Drosophila melanogaster: one gene and its partners. The protein of the gene in region 2 interacts with the protein of the main gene of each other region in a pairwise test. Each region holds a gene or a part of one and is shown on either strand. Other genes may lie near its edges.

Region 1 (3,754 bases), on a different chromosome or scaffold from region 2:
TTAAAGGATTCTTTTTTTTTCTCCAACGAAAATACAAAAGAGAATATTAAACAAAATCGATACTGGAACTGGGTTCCGTTTGCGTTAAGCGGAAGGTATACACAGAGATCAACGCTAATCCGGATACAGGTAGTCCTGCAGGATGTTCTGGAAGGCTATCTTTATCTTGCCGCGATCACGGCCGTTCAGCTTTTGGATGTCGGGCAGCAGGCTCATCAGAAACATGGCATCCGGATCGGTCTTGCAGTCGCACAGCTCCGCACCGCCGTTGGACACGGATCCGCCGGACGCGTTGTTGGCTTCCAAACGCAGAGGAAGCGCTGACGGCGGCACCTGTGGATGTCCTCCATGCATATGGTTGTGCCCATGCCGTTGACTCAAGTAGCTACTGCTACTGCTGGCACTAACACTACTACTGGGCGCCATCGGGGTGGCCACGGCCGCAGTGGATGGTGTGGGCAGTTCCGCTTCGGATAAGCCAGCAGTTCCTGGAACACCTCCTCCTCCTCCGCCTCCGGCGTGCGTTGTAGTGCTAACCAAATCCACGGGCTTGCTGAAAGTAGGTCGCACAAACGAAATGTTTGGATGGGCAGTCGGCTGTGCGGAGTAGTTGACCCCGGCCACTGCTGCAGTTGGAGCTTGGAGTTCCTGGGAACGCGGACGAATAGCGCCACGCATCTCGTCATGGTAGGTGCGCATTTGGAGGCGACCCGGAAGCATTCGGCTGGCGTGTGAATGCTGGTTGGCATAACGACGCTGGGCCTCCGCCGATGAAGAGCTAGAAGTAGGCGCCATCTTGTGTAGGTCCTGGTCATCCTGTTCATCCTCCTCGGGCTCGTGCGCCTCTTGTTCGTAGTCATCCACCGGCTCCTCGCACTCCGACTTAATGTCGTTGCCGTCCAACTGGCCGTGGTAACGACTGTTGCGCTGCTGCTCCTCCTCCATGATGTCATCCAGCTCGGAGTTGTTGTGTTCCGCCTCGTCAAAGTAGTCCAGATAGTTGTCCAGCTGCTGTGCAGGTGGTGACTGGTGGGCGGAGGGCGTGGGCTGGCCACCAATACTGCTGCTGCCCGGAATGGTCACTGAACGCTCACGCTGCATACGACTAGAAAGGTTCGAGAGGTGTGCCAGGGCGTCCTGCACCTGTGTGTCCAGCGATTTGGGCTGCTGGTGCTTCTTGCGTAGATACGGATGCAGAAAGAACATGCGGTCGAAGTAGGACCAGCAGGGTGGCACCTTTTCCTCCAGATAGTTGGTGTACTCTCGTCGGAACGAGATGCGCAAATTGGTCCACTTGGCCAGACTGGCGCCCGGATTCTTTTCCAGCTTCAAATCCACCTCGCGCCAAAAGTTCTCCACGTACGGGCGGCAAAAGTAGTATTTGTGCCTCGGATTGTAGATGGCCTCGTCGCGCTGCACAATTTCGATTAGTTTAAAGACCTACAGAACAACAGAAATATGTGAATCAAATCATTTTCAAATTGCATATCCATGCAAATACCTCCTCCGTTAGCCAGCGGGATGCACTACAGCTGGTGTTGGGATTGCTGGACACGAACTGGCTGCCCGCGAAGTCGGTCGTCATCATGGGTGGGCTGTGGCTCCAAGGCAGTCGCTCCGATGGATTCAATTTTTGGCTGACTTATCCAGCGTTCGCCATAACTTTTGCGAAATATTTTTATTGTTTTTCCCAAGTGTTCTTTTAAGTGCTGTGAACCAAACAGGCGGCCGAACTGGTTCCGGATCACAGAAGCTTTTGCTGACTATTTTGGTTTATGCGGGTTCCTTAAAAACAATGATCATGCAATATAAAAATTTCCCATATATATATCATCTTGTCTGAATCCGCGTGCTATGCTTAAAAGCTTAACCTGTAAGTGGCAAAAAGCGAAATTCCATGTGTTGCTATTTCTAAACAAACACAAAACACATTATTTAAGTACCACGCAGTGTTTGCCGAATTGTTTCTTTTCTCTTGATATTTGGTACATAGGCGGAATTGAAGCATTTGTGTCAATATTTGCAAATCTAAAAATGAAAGGTATAAAATTGAGCAACTATCCCCGGGAAAATATCACAGTCACAAAAGAGTAATCAAGATGAAGTTCTTCGCCATTCTGTTCCTTCTGTGCGCCATCGTTGGATTCGCTGCATCCTCCACCTCGACAACCACGACGGAAGCCTCCTCTGATACTTCAACCACTTCGGCGGCACCATCCCCAGTTCCGTGCGGAAATGGGCCCCAAGGACCATGTGGCAAGAAACTATACTTTTTCTACTAAGAAACAAATAAAGCACTCTATTCTTTAAAAAATGCATCGAGTTAAAAATCTGAATGAATTTAAACTAGATATATGTACATATTTAAAACTAATTTCACGAGCCACCCTAGAAAAAGTAAACGCAACGCATATTCTAGTATATTTTACCCGACTCAAGTGTATTTTTTGGTGCCCCGAACTTTGGTCACACTTTACCATTTTGGATTTTATTTTCTGTGTTTTTCCAAAATTTACTTCGATTCTGGCTCCAAGCTTTTACGTTTTTTCTGAAAATTGTGCGCATCTCCATGTGAATGCCGCACGGCGCGATAGTAAGTATAAAGCGTGGCTGGTGGGGGCATGTGGCTAAAGGAAACCACAAACACGGCGAAAGCTTGCAACATGAAAAGTCCACATTGTGGCACACATTCGCTCACAAACAATAACAAATTGAACGCAAAGCGAATCATAACAAAAAACGTCGGTTATCAAAGGATATTCAAAATGTGGTAGCTAGTGCGGGCATCCTGAGACCGATTGAAAGGTTTCCAAAGCCAGGCGCAGACTTGGAGGACGTGACCTGCCACAGGATTCGCATTAGAAATCACGCATGCACACTGAAGCGAAAGCAAGGAGCGCAATACTTGGCTAACACCTCGTTTGGCAATCCATTGGGCCTTTCCACATAACTGGCGATCATTTGTTTACGTCGCATCAAGCTTAAGTGCTTGCACACTCGAGTTGCATTGGTTTTGGCGCGCTAATACGTAGCATCTTAATTCACCACTTAATTGCAGGCAATCACTGGAACTTGATGCCCTACCCACAGGCATGGCGGTCAAGGTGCAATTCGAAATTGGCCACACGTCGAAGCTGCGCAGCAAGAAGACACCGCATCCGCAGGCCTTTACGCACGACTGGGAGATCTACGTTCAGGGCGTGAACAAGGCGGACATCAGTGCTTTTGTGGAGAAGGTGGTCTTTGTGCTGCACGAATCCTTTCCGAAACCCAAACGAGGTAAATGCGGCGATATATCATGGGAGTAGTTCAGTCGGATTAACTCTGTTACCCGAATTGTTTATTTGCAGTGGTCAAGGAACCGCCGTATGCCATTCAGGAGTCCGGCTACGCTGGCTTCCTACTGCCTGTTGAGATTTACTTTCGCAACCGAGACGAACCCAAGCGCATTGTTTACCAGTACGACCTGGTACTGCAGTCCACGGGTCCACCGCAGCACCACGTCGAGGTAAAGACGCACATTTTCGAGGCGCCGTCGGAGGAGTTTCGCACGAAACTTATGCGAGGCGGTGGAGTGCCAGTGTTCGGAGCTAACATCGGTGCCGGCAGTCTCGCCCGAACGCTTTCGCCCAGTGTTGGCAGCGGTGAGACAGCGCACAGTAATGAGATGTCTGGTGTCAAAGCCAAAGGCGTACCAGGTACAATATCCATGAACTCGGATTTAAACACCGGCAAGAAACACAAGTCGCGCAGC
Region 2 (3,754 bases):
CCAGCAGTACATTCGAATTGTTCGAAACGGTTGAGGGAGTGCGTCGGTGTCCGGCCGCACTTACGCCCATCTGTGGCACCCGCGGTGGTGGTGTACGGGTCTGGCTCACCGGACAGGGAACGGTCACGGGCAGCGGCACCACTGGTGGCGCCTCATACTGGTAGTCATAGTAGTCCGGCAGGCGATGGTTATAGTCGTAGGAATAGTCCGGATACGATTTACAGTCACGCTCGTAGCTGTAGTTCAACTCCGGCCGGTATGGAAAGTAATTGGAACCTATCAACGGGCAATTAGTATATTTTAAATTGGAGGATTCTCCTCGAATGTCTAATGGCTTGCCCACTCACCGAAGTAACCATTTCGGTAGTTTCCCCCATCGTTGGAGTAACTGGGTCCGTTTCTCAGGTAATCGGCTGGCGCATAAAGTGGCGGTGGACCAATGCCACCGCCCACACGAAACTCCTCGAAGACATCCGCTTGAGGATTGGCATTGCCAAAGCTGCTGTTGCTCAGCTTACGCCGTGGCGATGGCGTCGGTGGCTGGGTTCCGGCATACAGTGCACTCACCACGGCTGGCGGCTGTGATGGCGCTACTGTTGTCACCACGGCCGATGGAACTGGCTGTGGCTGGTGAGGATGATGATGATGGTGCTGCTGCTGTTGCTGTTGCTGCTGGTGGTGATGGTGCAACTGATGCTGTGGTGTCCGCTGCACAGGTGTGTAGTACGGCTGACTGCCTCCGATGCGCCGGGCCAGAGATGTGGGCTGCGATTTGCTGACCGGAGCTTCAATGCCACCAAATCTGGGGGGCAGGAATAGAGTATATAGTGTATAAAGAATTCGCGCTCTTTCGGATTCATTTAGCACTTACCTTGCTTGTGTGACTATCTTACGTGGCGTGCTTTCCCTGAGCTCCTGCTGCTTCAGTGGCACATTTACTTCCAGTTCCAGGATCTGTTCCGGCAGTGAATCCTCCACCACCTCTTCCGTTCCGGTAATCGCTGCCTTTGGTGCCGCCTTCAGAGCTGGCACTTCGCTGAGCAAAGTCGGATGCACTGGCGACACGTTCGACATGCGAACATCATATCCGGCCGCCACTCCGGCCAGCAGGGATGCCATGTTGTACAGCAACAGTTCGATCACGGAAAGCTTCGGCTTGCGCGCCGAATCGCCGGCATAGAGTGTCGGCAGTGGCACGTTGCTGGTGAAGCGGCTGAGGAGATATGGCGATGGCGACATAATCGGCATGTTGGTGGCACCCGGACGCCAGTTATCCATCTTGCTATTGCCCTGGTAGCCTGGTCGGTCCGATCGGCAGCATTCCAAGGCGGATATGAGACATGATTGAGTTACGGCATATGGTTGGTACTGGCTTGGGGGAACGATGGCTGGGATATGGTCGGTAGTCGGGTGGTAATCGGATAGTCGGAGGCGGGGGGTACAAGAGTAGTTGGATAGTAACCGCAGGCAACACCAAAGTTTAACCACCGCATACCAAGGAGACTCTGTTCGTCCTATATTAATAGGTTAATCTCTCTCTCTCTCTCTCTGTCCAAAATTGTGGATTGTGCTCATGCACAGAGAAAATCCATTCTTCATTCAGTCATTTTCACGTTAAATTGACATTAAAAGATAGCTTCACTTTAAATAAGTTTAAGTAATTTAAATGTTAGTTTGGATCATTGGACTTTCTCTGTGCTTTTTAGCTGCGAGGCAATCAAAACTGGTCGGCAGATTGTCTTAAGTTGGTTTTATTGTCGGATTTCTGTTTCTGGGTATTGGTTCTTCTTTTTTTTTTGTTTGTTTTTTTTTTTGGGGTTGGCTTGGCCCCAACATGGAAAATACAATAATATACAAAGTACATTGAAATAGAATCGAGCACTAAACGTAGAATGAACAAATCGTAAAATGAAGTATAAATATACAATTGAAAGTTTTCATAAAAATAATACAAAAAAATGATCATTTCCTTTTCGTTTCATCATCGTTTTTTGATCACAGGTTTTTTTTTCTTTCTTTCTTTTGCGCGATTATTCTTGTGCTTTTTTTTTTTTTTTTTTGTAGAAATAAATCATAAATAAATAAAATGGAAAACCCGATTGCATAATAAATGTATGTAAATAAAACTGTGCTCAAAATACCAAAAAAGTCGAATATCAAATTAAAATTAATGTGCACCGCAACTTTTCGTTAAGTGTACTTAAGCCAAACGAAATGCCGCAAGCGATGGAAATTTTGGAAAATATCTCTTACAAAGATTGAGGGGGTGAAAAAAAAGGAGGAAGGACTCCAAAAAAATGTTCGAGTTCCTACAAAACTAGAACTTAGTTCAACTAAGATGTGTGTAATGTGTAATGTGTAAGGACGCACTTACGCATCGGTATAAATATAGCTTAATGTTAATCCAATTGTTACACATTTATGTATATGGTTTAGTTCAATATATTTTGCCATTGGCCCATGCACACGTTTTTTCTCTCCGTGTCTGTTTGTCTACGTACAAGCGGCGTTAGTCTATCTATCCGTTTGATCCTCAAAAGTTCGTCCTCACTTCTGTGCTACACATTGCAATTTTCTAGCCACTCCTCTGGCACAAAAAAAAAAACAAAACAAATCACTGGACTAATTAGGGATTAACTTGATTTGTGAATTTCGCACAACATATTGCATTCGTTAGGAACAATTCGGTTATTATGAAATGCCAACCGCGGACAGAGGGGTTTTTTGTTTAGTTCTATGATTTCGTTAGACGGAAAGAATTCGGATAGGTATCTGTATCTCTGGGCCCTACTAATTTCACACATTAGCTATGGCTAATCCTCGCCTGCTGTTTCATCTCTTCGCTCTTCCTTTGCGTCTGACTTAGTCTACAGTTTTAATATAAAACAATGAGCTAATTAGGCGGTTCTCATCTGGCGGCCAACTCCAACAGCAACACTGCAGCACGGCGCACAACTGGGACTTTAGCATCGCTCCAGTTGCTCGCAGGATTGCGTCTGCGGCTTTTTGCCTTTGCGCTTCAAAGAGCGACTGCTGCCCCCCATCGCCAAATCGGTTTGATAGGGATCAATGGCACAGAACTCGGGTCCACCGACCATGTTGTGCTCCGCCAGCTTGCTGTACTTCTTTCGCGAGCGCGTAAAGAGATTGAAAAGGGCACGGATTTTGCTCGATCCAGCCGAGTGATGCTGGTGCTGGGGATCATTGTGGTCATCATGTTCATGGTGCTGTCCCTCGACTGGCGCCTCAACAGACTTGGATTTGGTTATGTGCTTGGGCCGTTGCTTCTTTTGGTTCTTGGTCTGCTGGCGCTGTTCCTGGGCCCGCAGCTTAATGACATCGGGATGCGGCTGAACATCTTGCATCCGACGCGTATTCAGTATGGAGTTCTCCTGCATGTGATAGCCGTTCACGGCTTCCGTAGAAGCAATGGACGGTGAGGCGGACGCAGTGGTGGACGATGAGGACAGCGATGGCGAGGCGGAGCGGTAGGTGGCGAAGCTAATTGAGGCACTGGATGTATATAGATCCGATCTGGCAGTCGTTCGCGGCGTGGCCACAAAATCGGGCTCTTCGAAACTGACGCTCTGGAAGGTCACTGAACTCTTGCGCGACGTGGTGGAGTTCTGGCGCATCTGACTGGCGGGCACTTGACACTCATCGTCGGCATCCGCATCTGCTGTGTCCACCTCCGCCGCCACCGCGTCCTCATCCTCTGCTTCCCCTTCCTCCTCCTGCCTGGTGAAGAAGCAGT
Region 3 (3,754 bases), about 10 Mb from region 2:
TACTTTATTAATCAGAAAAGTTGGTCTTCATAGAAACTTATTAAGCTTATAAATTTATGGCCAAATAAATCTTTTTTAAATATTTCAAAAAGACAATAACAAATACAAGCACATTAAAATGAAAATATTTGTGTTTCAAAAACATCGAGTTTTGTGAAACCCCAAAGAAATGTAAGGACACATATTTAAACACGATAAAAGCAGTTAAAACCTTTAAACTTTAAAGGATCTTGAAGTCTATTTATGAGGAATATCTTAAAGAGTAACATCACTTTAAAATGGCTTACTATAATTGAATATAATTGAATAAACGTTTGAAATAGCATAACTGGGCATTTAGTGGCCACATCTTGCGGTATCAAATATCCCAGTTAGCAGATCATCAAATGGCGGCAGATTGCATCTATTAAGCCCGGACAGATTGGCCAATTTGGTTGCAAATGAGCGAGGCGGACGGATAAGATCCGTCCTCAATTCGGCTATTGCAGCTATTTTCGTGCCAATTCCGGAATTTGTGCGGACGTTTTGCCCATGGCCAATTAACAAATAATTGATGCAAATTAAAATGCATTTTGTAGCGCCGTGTTTCGATTTGTTCTCTCCCTTTATTTTGTCACTCGCAAAAAAAAAAAAAATGGAAAAGGATTGGGGGACGAAAAAAGAAACGAGGAAATGACACGCAAGGTGAGAGTTGGGGACTGCATTTGTGATTACGGACGGATTGTGTGCGGATGATTGCGGCCATTGATGGATGTTAGAGGGGAATGGAAGAGGTTGAGGGGCTGGGGATTTTGAGGTGCCTGCCCCCCAAGTGAAAAATGAGAAAACTGAGTCCTTGGAGGTTAAGTCTAAGCGTCGCGACACAAGTTCGCTGGGCTGGGAAACTTATTTTTGTTTACATAATCCTTCCACGTTGTCTCGCTGCCCAATCCCCTTTCGCCCCGCCTCACCGCCCCCGCGTTTATTTTATATATATATATATTTTTTTTTTTATTTAGCGGCAGCTGCTGGACCGCAAAACGTAAATTTGGGTCAAGTTTTGTAAGCATAACGAATGGCAGAACCAAAACCGAAACCAAAACTAAAAACCCCAACCAAACCGAAGGCATCCCATATGCATAAATGCGAAAGTAACCTTCGTCTTGCCCTCTCTTTCGCCTCTCAAGCTATCTCTTTCCCTGTCTGCCTGCGGGTGTGTGTGTGTGTGTGCGTGGGTGTGTGCGTGTGCGGATCCCTTTTGTGTAAATTAATCTTTGGCTGCCGCACAAAAGTATGCTACACAAATATAAATAAACACTTGATCCCTTTGTTGATTGTTTCTTTTTGTTTTTTGTTTTTTTGTTCTGCGGCACAACTAATGTTTTCATTTAATTTTCGCACTTTTGCTTACTTTTTTGTTTGTCGTATTTGTTTCGTTTTTATAATTTATTATTTTTGCTTTGTTTGCTTGACGTTCGTATTATTTAACCGAAAAAAAAATGTCAACTATTTTGCAGGATTGGAACTTGGAAAAAAAAGGAAAACAAACCAACTATTTAGGTAATGGCTTTATTTTGTTGTTATTGTTGGTTGTTTGTTGCTGCCACTGGCGGCTAATGTTGTTGTTGCCGTTGCTGTAGTTGTTGTCGATTTCCGTGGACCGGAGAGCGCGCTTTGTCCTTTTGTTGTTGTCGTTGCGAACCAGCGATTTGATTGTAAACTTAAAAACCTGCCGAGCTGCGTTGCGTTTGTTTGGCGGTCAAATCAGCGACTGAAAGCGCTCTGCACGCTCCACGGCGAACGGAATACGGAATATGGAATACGGCGGAATGTGCGGCAGTACGGCCAAACGGCTGGCTATATGTGTGTGCGCTATCAACAACTGAGAACTTTTTTGGTAACATTCTCAATGGGTCGTGGTGAGTTCGAGTTGGGCACCCCTTCTACCGCCCCCTTTCTGCCATCACTTCGCTTAACACACTACGGTACTCGCGACTCATAACTGACTTATATAACGCACACATATGCAGGCATTTCAGTGAACTCACCACTCGAAACGATGACGAAGGCGCAGGCACCGAAGCTTTTCACCACACTCACCCACTCACACGCTCGCTCTCCCGCTCTCTTCTCACGCGTCTCGTTGTGTGCGTGTTGAGGCGCCTCTGTGTGCGTGTTAAAAGCTGCAAGAACTTACAACAAAAAAACTCGAAGAGTTTAGCAGCTGCGGAGGACCAAAAAAAAAAAAAGAAATGTAAGAGGAGGAAAACCGAAAAGCCAGCGCAAAAATGGGCCAAAAACGGGGACCCCTCGTGAATATTGAACTCCATGGAAGCGAAAATGGCAAACCCGTGGACACCAGTTCTGCAGCGGGAGCCATCGACAATTACCAGAAGCTGGCAATGGTCTTAGATAAGAGCCCAAATCGCCAAAGAGCTGGGAAAAGTCGAACAAGAACTGGGACAATCAGCCAAGCAGTTAGCGATAAATTTCCCCCCACTTTGCAGCACACAGCGAAAATAACAGTACGGCCCAATGGAAAGCGACGATTTTCCTACAATCGAAAACATTTTCCAACATTTAGTCTTAAATTTAGTTTAGTTAACTTTTATTTATTGAAGTTTACCATCATCGTTGGGTTGCCTTTTGTTTATTGGCTTAATTGTTCAATTTAATAAAAGTAAATAACAATATAACAAACAAAAAAATAAAAGTTATTGTATTGTATTGCAATTAACCACAAGTAAAAGAAACTTGAGCAGATTATCCCAAAACCGAAGTTGCATTTTATTAAATTCTGCGATAAAATTAGCTTTTCATCATATTTTCATCTCCCTTTCATTATTAGCTTAAATACATAAATATTTAAACGTTTTAAGGTTAATTCGAATAGGTCGATTAATAAATTCGAAAATGCTAATAAAACGAAGTGTATTTTGTAGTTTACGACCCACATTTACCATTAAAAAATGCTGTGTTTATTCATTCAGATGGAAATGGTCGATTTATCACAATCCAAGGCAATTCCCAATGTTTTTCAGTTGCAATTAAAAAGAGATAGTTTTTTTTTTTTTTTTGAATCAGACGGATTTGTGTTTGCTTTTACTTCGTGTGTGTTTTTGTGTTAGAAAATATGTATGCAAATATATACATATATATAAGATCTTTAATGGCAATATACTTGAAAATACTTATATAAAATTATGATAATTTTCAGCGAACTTGCAACAATATAAAATTCTCAACGGTTTGAACATTCTTTCCAATTCTACGAATACTTCGCCTTTTTTCGCTCTGTGTAGCAGCAGCAGTTGACGGGGAAAAACTTTATCACCAGAGCGCTAGATACGCGAAATCCTAGAGGCGGGGGAAAGTGCGTACGAGCGACGGGCGCACCTCCAGAACGAGTCCTTCTCCCCCCAGACATCCGACCCCCCCCCCTCCTAAATTTTCTTCTTTTTTTTTAAGGATCCCTACGCTATGACGTGGCTGAGTAACAATCCGGCAATCCAACAAACGAACAAACAAACAAATACATGGCATAACACGATAATAATAAAAATACAAACATTTGCCATTGCGTGTCCCTCAATGACGTAACCCCCCCTGAAAACACACAGAAAGACAAAGACAAGTAGAGGTGGTATGGTGGTGGGTGGGGGGTGGGGTTTTGGAGTTGGGGTTGGGGCTTCAAGGCGCCCCAATGTGGACGGACAGGGAGGGGCCAGTGAAACCACATCCAAGTGGGTGGGCATTTTGCCGGTACGAAAAGCGC

The links.
Region 1: the proteins of CG2278 (region 2) and CG6276 interact in a two-hybrid assay, tested with the Drosophila melanogaster proteins (one large-scale study listed by BioGRID).
Region 3: the proteins of CG2278 (region 2) and Frq1 interact in a two-hybrid assay, tested with the Drosophila melanogaster proteins (one large-scale study listed by BioGRID).

What each region holds. Positions count from the first base shown.
Region 1 is NT_033777.3:15,318,326-15,322,079, forward strand, and holds the start of CG6276 (uncharacterized protein), read right to left. Parts: upstream 1,745-3,754; 5' UTR 1,589-1,744; coding exon 1,502-1,588; intron 1,441-1,501; coding exon 115-1,440; 3' UTR 1-114. Other genes in the region: CG44040 (uncharacterized protein), read left to right, coding at 2,100-2,282; ear (ENL/AF9-related), read left to right, coding at 3,093-3,279, 3,351-3,754.
Region 2 is NC_004354.4:8,168,619-8,172,372, forward strand, and holds the start of CG2278 (uncharacterized protein), read right to left. Parts: upstream 1,649-3,754; 5' UTR 1,279-1,648; coding exon 872-1,278; intron 803-871; coding exon 348-802; intron 277-347; coding exon 1-276. Other genes in the region: slpr (slipper), read right to left, coding at 2,964-3,754.
Region 3 is NC_004354.4:18,153,369-18,157,122, reverse strand, and holds the start of Frq1 (frequenin 1), read right to left. Parts: upstream 1,755-3,754; 5' UTR 1,391-1,754; intron 1-1,390. UniProt on the Drosophila melanogaster protein: Ca(2+)-dependent modulation of synaptic efficacy. Also plays a role in axon terminal morphology.